Linked DNA regions of Pelodiscus sinensis. The protein of the gene in region 1 interacts with the protein of each later gene in a pairwise test. Links are inferred from orthologs where the notes say so. Each region holds a gene or a part of one and is shown on either strand. Other genes may lie near its edges. The genes, in order: FAM161A, CCDC102B and CDR2.

What was found.
Region 2: the proteins of FAM161A (region 1) and CCDC102B interact in binary tests that used the Homo sapiens proteins (3 or more experiments, as listed by UniProt). The two-hybrid records come from large-scale screens. The link is inferred for Pelodiscus sinensis from reciprocal best matches to the Homo sapiens genes FAM161A and CCDC102B.
Region 3: the proteins of FAM161A (region 1) and CDR2 interact in binary tests that used the Homo sapiens proteins (3 or more experiments, as listed by UniProt). The two-hybrid records come from large-scale screens. The link is inferred for Pelodiscus sinensis from reciprocal best matches to the Homo sapiens genes FAM161A and CDR2.

What each region holds. Positions count from the first base shown.
Region 1 is NC_134713.1:180,771,934-180,775,683, forward strand, and holds the start of FAM161A (protein FAM161A), read right to left. Parts: upstream 2,465-3,750; 5' UTR 2,428-2,464; coding exon 2,299-2,427; intron 1-2,298. UniProt on the Homo sapiens protein: Involved in ciliogenesis.
Region 2 is NC_134712.1:92,060,342-92,064,091, forward strand, and holds the start of CCDC102B (coiled-coil domain-containing protein 102B), read left to right. Parts: upstream 1-851; 5' UTR 852-985; intron 986-3,750. UniProt on the Homo sapiens protein: During interphase, forms fibers at the proximal ends of centrioles to maintain centrosome cohesion. During mitosis, dissociates from the centrosome following phosphorylation to allow centrosome separation. Contributes to CROCC/rootletin filament formation.
Region 3 is NC_134726.1:22,798,860-22,802,609, forward strand, and holds the start of CDR2 (cerebellar degeneration-related protein 2), read right to left. Parts: upstream 2,416-3,750; 5' UTR 2,234-2,415; coding exon 2,155-2,233; intron 1-2,154.

The DNA.
Region 1 (3,750 bases):
GGGTTATGTACAAGATAGGGACTGTAGGTTTGTTCTTAAGTTGAATTTGTATGTAAATCGGAACTGGCGTCCAGATTCAGCCACTGGTTGAAACTGACCAGCGGCTGACTACAGGAAGCCCAAGGCAGAGCTGCTCTGCCCCGGGCTTCCTGGAATCAGCCGCTGATCAGTTTCAACAGTGGCTGAATCTGGATGCCTGGGACAGAGCAGCTGGGGCGCTGCCGGATTGGTCCCCGCAGCACCACACCTTGGCGTTGCGGGGACCAACCCGGCAGCGCCCCAGCTGCTCTACCCCAGGCATCGGCGAGAAAAGCCTGGTCTGCTGGGGAGGGGGGGGGGGGGGGGCGCACTAGCTGCGCTCCCCACCCACAGCAGACCAGGGAGAGACGGAGCAGTTTTTCTCACTGCAGAGGACGCGGGCGGCGGTCCTGCCGCCCACATCCTCCGTGGCGAGAAAAGCCCTGTTCGTATGTAGGGATCCACGTAACTCAGGGACTGCGTATAGTGATGATGGAAGCAACATAGGCCTTAAACAGGGCAGTCTTCTTCAAATCATCCATTACTAGTTTTCCTTCCCCCCCCCCCAAGTATCAAACCTACATTTTCCATTGTCTTTCTCTTGCTCCTAACACATTTGTAGAACCTCTTTTATGTTCCTTGCTAGGTATATCTCATTTTGTGCTTTAGCCTTTCTGATTTCATAGCCACTCATTTACTGTTCTTTTGTACTCACCCTTAGTAATTTCTCTCCATTTTTGTAGGATTACTTTTTACTTCATCTTCAAACCCCTTCTGTTAGTGCCTAGTGCATCACATTCAAGCTCTTTGTTCTCATTCTCATCACGCTACATAATCTTACTCTCATCTACATGTCTTTTCCCATTTACTCCTATTTCTACCTTTCAGTATGCTAAACTCAGCACCACCTCTTGCTTTAAAGCTGTCCCCTTCATTCTTACCTTCACACCTTTCAACATCTCTTCCCTGAACTTGAAACTACACTCCGCTTTCTACCCCTCTTTAAAACACATTTTTACAGGAATCATTCCTATATTCTCATCAATAATCTCCTTTATCTCTTACAGCTCTTGTAGCATCTTGTTTTAAAAAGGCAGACTTGGAACACGGGTGTCCTTATATATCAGAAAATACTTCACCACATGCCAAAGTATTTCCTTAAGAGACAAAACTTATATTACTTTTAGTTTTAAAATCTCACTTGAAGACAGAATTAAAAATACATCATTAATCCAGAGACTAATCTTCAGAAGATCATCTTACCCTATTTAAAATGTAAACCCAGTGTGTTTTGTTCCTTAGCATTATTGCAGTTGCCACAAGGAATATCATAGCAACATATTGGGGGTGAGGGAGGATCAGACTGGTAGCAGTCTTCTGGAATTTTCACCTTCCTCCACAGTGTGGGATGCAAGTTGCCTGCTAGGATCATCTTTGTGCAGCTTTCAATCAATTTCCTGCCATTCCAAGGGCCTCAGGCATTGGTGGACATTGGTTCCTCCTGTTCTCTGCCTGTGGCGCACAGTGGTCAGTCTCCTGGAAGCTGAAATACCTTAGACTAATTTTGGTAGTGGCATTTAGCATGCAGGGCGGTGCTGGTGCCCTGTGTTTACAGGAGGTCAGTCAGATCTGGTGACCCTTTCTGGCTGGAAAAGCAGCCATCTGTCTACTAAATCCTAGTTCTCCTAGCAGGTTGGGACAGTCACTGGACTTGATGGAACTCCATAAAGCACAGCATCAAAGCCATGAAAAGGTTAGCAGGAGCTAGGCAGCCTAGGAGAATGCCACCGGTTCCACGTTTTCTAATGCATTGCCTCCCTTATACAACAGAGACATTACTTGACATAATAGCGATCAGATGCTCACAGACTTTCACCCCCATGGGCAGCAGATATAAGAGGCAGGGAAAGGCATTGCCTTCTCAAACGGCCACGCATGGTCCCACCCACACTCCGCCCCCTGCTTCAGCATGGCTGCCAGGCTTCAGCTGTGCCGAAGTGGGGATTAGCGGTACCTATCACCCTTACTGGGTAATGCTGACCGGTCCCCGTTAACCGGTGGGGGCTGGAGCGGCTCCCTACGGCTAAGCCCCAGCGATGTGCGGGGCGCAGGAGCCCCCCCCTCGCCCTGCGAGAGCGCCCCACGGCCGGAGCCGCCAGCCCCCGGCTCAGGCGGGGGGGGAGGCTCCCGCGCAAGGGGAGCGGGATGTCGCTGCCCTCACCCGGGGGGCGAGCGGCGCAGGAGACACGGCCCGGGCTCCCCGCCCCGCCCCCGCGGTACCTGCTGCTCCACGGCGGCCGCTGGGCGCCTCTCCCGCTCGTACAGAGCCACCGGCGCCCTGGTGCGCGGGTTCACGGGCGTCCTGAGGCAGGAGGCGGTGAGGAGCGCAGCGCGGTGCGCCGCGTCCATACTCCGCGGGCAGCGGCTGGCTCGGCCGCCGCCTCTGGCTCCCAGCTACAGCGGTTACCGGGGACGCTACGGCACGTCTACTAGGACAAACCTATGCGGACTGCGAGTCAAGCCCCAAGCTGAGACTCCGCCCTCCTAGAGCCCTTCCGGACCGCGGCGCGACGGGAAGTTCGGGGACCCCGGAGTGCGGAGATTCCTGCCCCGCTGTTGGGGAGGAGGGGGCTGTCAGTCCTCCCTTCTGAGAGTTGCTGCGCCTTTCTGCTCAGGCTGTTCCCAGGAAGGCTGGATGCACACCCCGCGCCAAGTTAGCTTCCTCGATCAGTTCAGCGTAAGGGTAATTCAGTGCTAGATGGGCTGGAACCACAGCCGATGGGCAGATGTATCTTTGTCAGAGTGCTTCGAGTCTCCACTCGATATGCTTGCAATGGTTTTGTGCCACTTCTGCTGCTCAAGCTATGATTAGTGACAGAAGGTGCTACCCTCTCCCTTCCCAAACCCCCTAGGGATAAAGCAAGTGTATTTCAGCCAACTTTCATTGAACTGAAACATGGGAACGTCACCCCAGGGGAAGAGCTTGGGCCATCCCAGTTGGGGGAGTTAATTGGCCAGAGACCAACTGAGTAGTTCTTAGAACAGGGGTGAGCAAGATGCATCGGGTGAATCAGTCCACCCCTACAGCATAGGACACCCAAAGCAGCAAGCTGCTCCTTGTTCCTTCACTGGGGGGAATGGGAAGAGGCTTCCCCTGGTGCCCCACAGTCAGCAAAATCTCTCTGCCCGTTTGCCAAAAATCCACCAAAGGGAGCTAAGAGATTTTGCTGGAGGGAGTAGAAGCGCATGAACTCCTCCATCCCCCGCCCACATCACAGAGCCACATGGAACAGAAGGCATTTAGGGTTGTTGCCAAGCACTGAAGCTTGTTTGGAGCAGTCACCTGTCCAGTAGCTGTTTGCATAAGCACTTGCTAGCAAGAGCCTGCCTTTGGCACCCCACCCCCTCCAATGCCCCTATTATCTCCCAGACTCTGCACACTCTGCTACACTCCCAGAATGTATCTTTAACCCCTCCTGGAGCCTACACCCCAATGCACTGGACCAGGTCACAACCTCCTCCTTCACCCAAACTTCCTCAGATCCCACCCCCTTTCCTGCACCCAAGTGGCCTGCTCCTGAACTCCCTTCTACTCTCAATCAGTAGCCAAGACCTCACTGTCTCCCCCCACACCTAGAAAAGTGTGACCTTGACTACTTACCAAAAGCTTGGAGTCTCCCCCTCCACCAAAAATTATCCCTAAACTACATACAAAGATGTTAATATTAAGTC
Region 2 (3,750 bases), on another chromosome or scaffold:
AATCTTGGTGGTGGTCTTTTTCTGGGTGTAGCTCTCCTGTTGATATCAATGTATCCAAAAGAAGCAGGGAGAGCAAAGGGGGGGGAGCGTTTGTGGGAGAGTTACCATTGTTAGATCCAAAGAAGAAGCCTCTTTCCAAATGACACAGGGGATTGCAGCTACTCTATATAAGCATTATGACTGAAGTAGACTCAATGGGCCAGATCAATGGGCTTGCCAGAGCTTCGCTGATTTCAATGGAGCCATGGTATTGTTTGACTGAATGACTCTTAAGAGGTCCCACAGTGGTAGCATGCAGCTCCTTTGCAGATTCCTATTATAGGCAAGCTGGTGCGTTTCAATCTTTCCCTATATTTGTAGCCCCAATGTTACAAAAGTGTACTATTTTATATTCCACAAAATATTTTTTTTTTCTTTAGTGTACCAGTCATTTATGTTTGTGTGGTGTAAATGATATTCAGAGCTCAAGAAATTACCCTTTTCTTTCAGGGTCTGTATTTTTTATTTGGATTTGGTTAGCTTGCTCACACCTTTTGTGCTTCACAATTTAAATATCACAGGACTTTTGTTAATGGTGTAATGTACTTTACAATAGCATGCAAAATGTACCAGAGATACATGTGGAGTGGGAGAAGCTGTTGCTGGCCCAGAAATCAATCAATCAATCTCTCTCTCTCACACACACACAATATGCAGTTCAGAAAAGGAGGAGAAATTACTGATGAAAAGCACAATAAGCTGTGTGTGGCGTGTATCTGTAGGTGGTGACTGACTTGCATTTAAAAAAAAAGTTGTGGTATTGGTTTTGATACAGCCTGACCAATGGGAATCTTCTTTCTAGTTAGTGTGGAGTGGCTTTAATGCTGGAAATAATCCTGTTGGCCAAAACCCCAGAACTGTGCAGATCAGAAAAGGATGCAGGAAATTCTGTTTACACATGTGTCTGCAGCACTGAGCAGCAAGAACAGCCCAGCAAGCCCAAAGGGTAAGGGGCTTTAGTAGTCTTGTGGTTTTATACTGTGTTAATTTTTATATCTTTCTGCAGGGTGGTGTGTATAATACTCACCCAGGGAACTGAGGGTGGAAAGCTCTATAAGCTATATTACAGAAGTACTTAGATTTAAAAAAGAAAACTATTTTGATTGTGTGATTAAATTGTGTTTTACTATTTTCCTTTTGCTTTCCATTAAACTACCATTGGACAATTTTTTTTATCTTTGCATCATATTAAACATACCTTGTCCTGTATGTATGCAATATGCTTATTTTAATATAAGATTTTAAAATATACATTTGCACAGTAAAAGTATGTTAAACTATCTTTATTATTAATTTAAAAACCTGAATGATTTACTATAAATATGGAATGTTGAAGGCTTACACTGTTTATATAAAAATTCAAAAGTACAGTAGGAGAAGGAGGTACTGTTTGGGTCATTTTCTAAACCTCACTCAACACTAGAAATTTTAGTCTCAGGGGAATAGTATAGTTTGAGTTTGCAACTTGCACTCAATTTCTGTTGCGGTTAACAGGAAGTTGTGTAATCAGAAGGAATGTTTCCGATATAAAATGTGCAACTAACTGATAAATTTGTGATCTTAATTTCCCCCTGAAAACTCTCTGGATACAGGCAAAATTAGGAGCTATAAATCAGTAAGGTTTTGTTTGTTTGTTTTTTGTTATACTGCACTTTAAAAATAATAAAAAAGGAAATTCAGCTAGTACCGTTTCAAATAATGGACAATCTCAGAATGTGTGTGGATGAGCTGTCACTAGGAAGGACCTGAGGAATAAATTCCTAAAGTAATACAGAGCAATTTCATAAATGCATATAGCAGACTGTTCTAACTTCTCAGCAGTTAAAACCCAGGTTCTCTGGCTGTATCTAGCTTTTCATTTTCACTGTTTTCATCACTACCACATTAGTTTATTCCCCACAACCATTAATGTTGATATTGGGTAGGAAACATTTTTCTTGCTCTAATATAACTTACAGAAGGAATACTTAGTGTTCTTGCAACTATTTGCCCTAAAATGCAAATGTGCCCTGAAATGTATATAAATATACTGTATAAATGTTGTTTCATGAATGGGACTTGTGTGTTCTTCACCTATTCCAACCATCCAACAAATTTAATGGACATTCAGTAAGTGCAAAGAATGATGTATCAAGCTTATTTTCTATTTTTTCCTGTCCTTTATTTAATCCAGTGCTCTTCAATTATTTCTTTTACTAATCACCTGTAATTGGTTAATTTATTGCCATTTACCTCAATAGATAGGCCTTAGCATCTTTTAATAGATTAATTTATTAATCTTACCAATAATTATTTAGCCCCACAAAAATATATAGAACTTTCTGAATCAAAGAGATGTTCCCTGCCCTAAAGAGTTTGGTGCTAAATATTGTTTTTCATCCCTTTCCATTTCTTCTAAATCTCTATCAAATCATTTACTGATTGCTAATGTGACTGCTTAGCACAATTTATAAATGCTCACACAAGGTCTTGGCAAAAACAAGTTGTGACGTAGTGGGGGTACTTGCTGGGATGTGGTGACCTCTGCTGTCTGGAGCAAGACCCAGCAGGGAAAACCTCACTAGGCAGAGGTAAGGACAAACTTGTTGAACCAGTGGCCAGACACCCCCCATGGAGAGGAACAAAGGAAGGTGAATGCGGCCCTGGCTGGGGGGCAGGGCTGGAAGTGGGTTAGTTGGTTGGTGGCTGTCTGTGAGGATGGATGAGACAGCCTAGGGAGAGGAGCTGGAGTTTTAGGGGCCCAGTCTCCCCCATCTCAAGGGGGCCTGAGGCATCCTAGCCCAGTTCCTGTAACCAGACTACATCTGTGCTGCGCTGTGCTGGAGGAGCAATAAACCACCCTCAATTCCACTGGCTGGTACAGTCTGTTTGTGCCATTTCGGGGTGCAGGAGACGGGGAACCCCCAACGTGCCGTCACACAAGTCTAAAAAAATCTTCAGTTTGCTGCACTGCTTATGACGTTTCTTTGCAAATCGTGTACATAGGATGGATCCCTCTAACATATATGATAGAATTTAGGAATACATTGGACTTAATTCATATACACTTTCACACCAGTAGGGCCTTGCTACCCTCTGTTGGTTGTCTCATTGTGGAAGGTCAGATTTTCAAAGATCATCAAAATTCTGGATAAGACATCTGGCTATGGCCCTTCCCTAGTTAACCTCTAGATATAGCCAAGGGTGCTAGATACTTTATAGGATAGGTTAACTGAGTACAAGCCTACATATTCAAGGGCTAAATTAAGACTACTTGATAGGTGTACCCATATTTTAGAGCAGTGGCTTGCAAACTCTGTTGGTTCGTGTGCCACTTCAACATTTTTAAGGCAGTTGGTGGAACATCAAGTTTGTCTGTCATTAGCGGTACATGCACTGCAGTTTTCAGATAATTCCATGGGAATAAGTCTGAGGAATTTTAATTGGACTTGATATATTTGTCTGTCTGAAATGCTCTACTTTTTGTAAAAAAAGAAAAAGGAGAGAGGAATCCAAGTATTGTATAACAGAGCTCAACCAGGGTTGACCAAAACTCAAGCAGTCACAGAAGCAGTTAGATATTCTTCTCCCAGCAAGAATTCATATATATGGATGATTCTATAATATATTTTATAAGGTTTCAGTTTTCACTTTATTAACTGTAAATTCATTTTCTCTAACTGCCATACCCTCATTCTTATTTTGCTGTCTATGTTCCTTGTACTCCTTTTT
Region 3 (3,750 bases), on another chromosome or scaffold:
TCTGTACATTTCATGAGGAAGCTAGGTGATTCACAGAGACAGGTTTGTCTCTGAATAGTGACAGCTTTACAATGGATTGGAAAAAAAGTCTAAATCATTAGAAAATAATGTTAGATGGTTCACCAGTTTTTCCAGACAACAGCAAACTATTCATGGGTATGCGATCCTGTTAAGTTACAATCTATGAAAACTGCTGAAAACTGCTGTACAGCTATTCAACAGTTAGCAGAGATGGAATTTTTATTGTTAACTACTTGACTTTAGTATGAAAAACATGATTTTTTTTTCTACTTCTATTCTTTATAATGCAATAGGCTCTATCAACCCTAGTCATGTATCAGGATCCCACTGTGCTTGCCAATGTACAACCAAAACAAAAGAACTGTCCCAACCTCAAAGAGCTTAAATGAGGAATAGCTTAGAGAAACCAAGTTTTAATTAAATCTAGTTTTGAGGAAGCCCCTTCTCTGAGTTTCCAGTTCTGAACTGACCATTTAAGAACATAAATAGCTTATTTAAAAATAAGACTAAAATACCAATTTTAAATAGTGCTAAACCCAAAATAGTTTGTTCTAAATGCATTCCAATTAAAGCCTACTGGAGGTTCAGAAAATTGATAATGCCATACATTTTACTGCATACACTACTCTATACTACTATGTCTCAAACCAGCTTTATAAAGTTACATGGAAACCTACTGATGAAAAAGCACTATGGGTACATGTACACTACAGAGGAAGATTGAAGCTCCAGCTCTCGTTCTTCCAGGGTTTGAATTAGAGAGTGTAGTTAAGACAGCTAATTCAAACTGAGAGGGGCACTCTGGTCCATACCGGTAGTCCTGCTTTCACCAGGAGTAAGGGAAGTTGAAGGGAGAGTGCTCTCCCTTCAACTTCCTGCAGTGTAAACAGTACCAAAAGCTGAAATAAGGTACTTTGACTTCAGCTATATAATTAACATAACTGAAGTTGCATATCTTAATTTGACTTTGTCCTGTGGTGTAACTGTATCCTATAAGAGCTACATAATTATTATAGTATTAAGAGAAGCACACATATATTGGAATTAGTCAATAAATTTTCACAGTAAATTGTAAACAGGACCTGTGTAAGGAGGAGTTGAGAGCAGTAAATGACCCTCTATCCACAATAAAGTTAACAATGGTCCTTGTAGGACCATTGCTTTGTTTTGTTTTTAAGTTTCTTTTAGTTAAAGACTAACAAAAGACTAGCCCACTTAACACCTTTATTGTGCTCTAGTATCAGAGGGGTAGCTGTGTTAGTCTGAATCTGCAAAAGCGACAAGGAGTCCTGTGGCACCTTATAGACTAACTGAAGTAAGTGTAGGAGCATAAGCTTTCGTGGGCAAAGACCCACTTCGTCAGATGTGCTCTAGTGTTTAGCCCTTTAATTACAGACAAGCAGAAGGCGGTTGCAGGGTGTGGAAGCCCCTAAGGAGTATTCAGCCGCTCTATTTTAAGCAAGCACTGCAGCGAAAGCACTCCCATTCCCAAGCTGCTTTACGCCAAGAGGTGCAGCTTTTCACGGAGTGGCACACGCAGGACGCGAACAAAGTTAAGGGAAGAACCAGCTCCGAAGCCAGGTACACGAAGCCACTCGCAGGGTTCGTTTTGCACAAGTCCGTACGGCCCAAAAACCTCGCACGATACCATTGCGCCTCCCAGGGAATTGCTGTTCTTGGTTAAATCCCCGGTGCCCTCAGAAGCTGCAGGATGGCAAACGCTTTGCAATGTCAATGGTCACAAAGCCTCCTTCCGTGCGCCCCCAGCCTAACGATGTCTCCCAAATAATAACCCACCCCCGCGCTAGCCCCGGGGGGGCAACTGTGCCCTTCTGTCCTCTCCACGCCCTCGCCCTTTTCCTCGCCTCGCTCCCCTCAGTCGCTCCCCGCCCGGGCGCACACATCTTCCCCCCCCCCCCCCCCCAGCCACGTTTCCCAACTGCCCGCCTCACCGGGACTTACCTGTCCTCATCCCGCGCCCCCTCGGGACTTACCTGTCGCCCCCCACCCCCATCATCCCCTGAAGACGCCGCCGGAGGAGGCTCCTTCATCGCCTCGCCCAGCGGGAGCCGTTCGCTTGAGCCCCGAGCCCGCGTCAGGCGGGCATCCTCCGCGCGGAGCCAGGCTGCTCACCTTGCTGCAGGTCCTGCTGGTCGTACCAGGGCTCATCCTCGCGGATTTCGAACTCCTCCACCAGGCTGTCGGCCAGCATCGCGGCCCCCCGAGGGCTCCTCGCGCTCACCGACAAGCCTGGCGCGGGGCGAGCCGGGGACCGTTCAACTCCTTTAAAGCCGCGGCCGGACTTTGCCGAGCGCTTCCGGACTTAGCCGAGTCCCCCCCGCCTCCAGGCCGGGCCCGGCACCGCAGCCGGCAGCAACGTGGCATGGGCAACCGCCCTTTTACTACAAGGAGAACGATTATTCAAAACGGGCACTCTGACCTCCCTGCCGGACAACCAATCGCACGCCGCCGTTAGGGGATCGACCGGAACGCCGCCCAATCAAGCGTTGAAAGCTTCCACTCAGCCAGTGGAGTGGGGGGAAAGGTGGGTTTGGGCCGATTAAGTTCCGCCCCCCGAGATAGGTGCGCAGCCTCCAGCCGGAGGGCGGAGCCAAGGAGTCGGTCAGTACGTGCTGGAGGAGGGGGTGTTGGAGTGGCTGTCAGGGGTTAATTCCCGGGAGTAGGTTCCTGGGCTGGAGGAGGGGGAGTTGAGGAGAAATAGGGGTTGGGAAGGATGGGAGCCGGGGCTAGGCGGGCTGCAGCACCCCAGGTTTACAGTCTGGGTCAGTTGCTATCCCCACTATAAAATAGTTCCAGCGCTCGTAGGCGGTGGGCATGGTGAAGTACAGAGAGGGGTGGGGCAGCTCTGAAGGGGTAGGAATGGGAGAGGAGTACAGAGGGATGGGGGAGCTGTGGGGTGGGACAGGAAGGGGGAGCTATAGTGGGAGGGTGGGAATGACAGCGCAGTACAGAGGGTTAGGAACAGGTGAGTCCAGGGGGCTCATAGGTGCATGCTGTTAATAGTCCCCGAAGTGATCTCTGTCTGTGTGTGGTCCCTAAAGCATCCTGGGGTCTAAAGGTATCAATGCTTGGTTCTGTTCAAATGCTTCCAAACAGCATTGCTTTCTGTAGCCAAGTGTTTTTATGGCAAGCTTATCTCAGGCCACAGTGAAGCATGGTAGTAGCTGCTTCCATGTTTGAAAATAATTATCCGAGACAATACCTAGAAATTATGTAGTACTTTGCAAAAATTAAAGGTCTATGAATGAAAAGAAGGGTAATCTTTATCCCACTTTACAGATGGGGAAGGATGGGACTGTGGGAGAAAGGAAGAATGATTTGCCCAACTCTCAAGAGAGCGAAGGTCTCCAAGCTTCTAGTTCAGTGAACTGTCCACTAGATCCTTCTGTGTACTCATTGTCAAGCCCAGTTCTCTGGTGTTAAAAAGGAACAATCCTTGGTAACTCTTAGAAATTGGGTACTCTAACAGTTTGTAAAGGGGGACATTGTTTCAAGTATTCACCTTTCTGCTTATTCATAATCATGCAGATGTTTTTCCCTTCCATTTGCAGTTATGTCTCTACCAATTACAGTAATTGTTTACATCAGAAAGCATGGGTTTGTAGCTACATTTTAATGTGTTTAAAAGATGCAGGGGGGAGACTGACCAGACAGTACTGAAGACCACTAAAAACTGCCCAATTGACTAGTTCAGGAACTCCTGCAGTC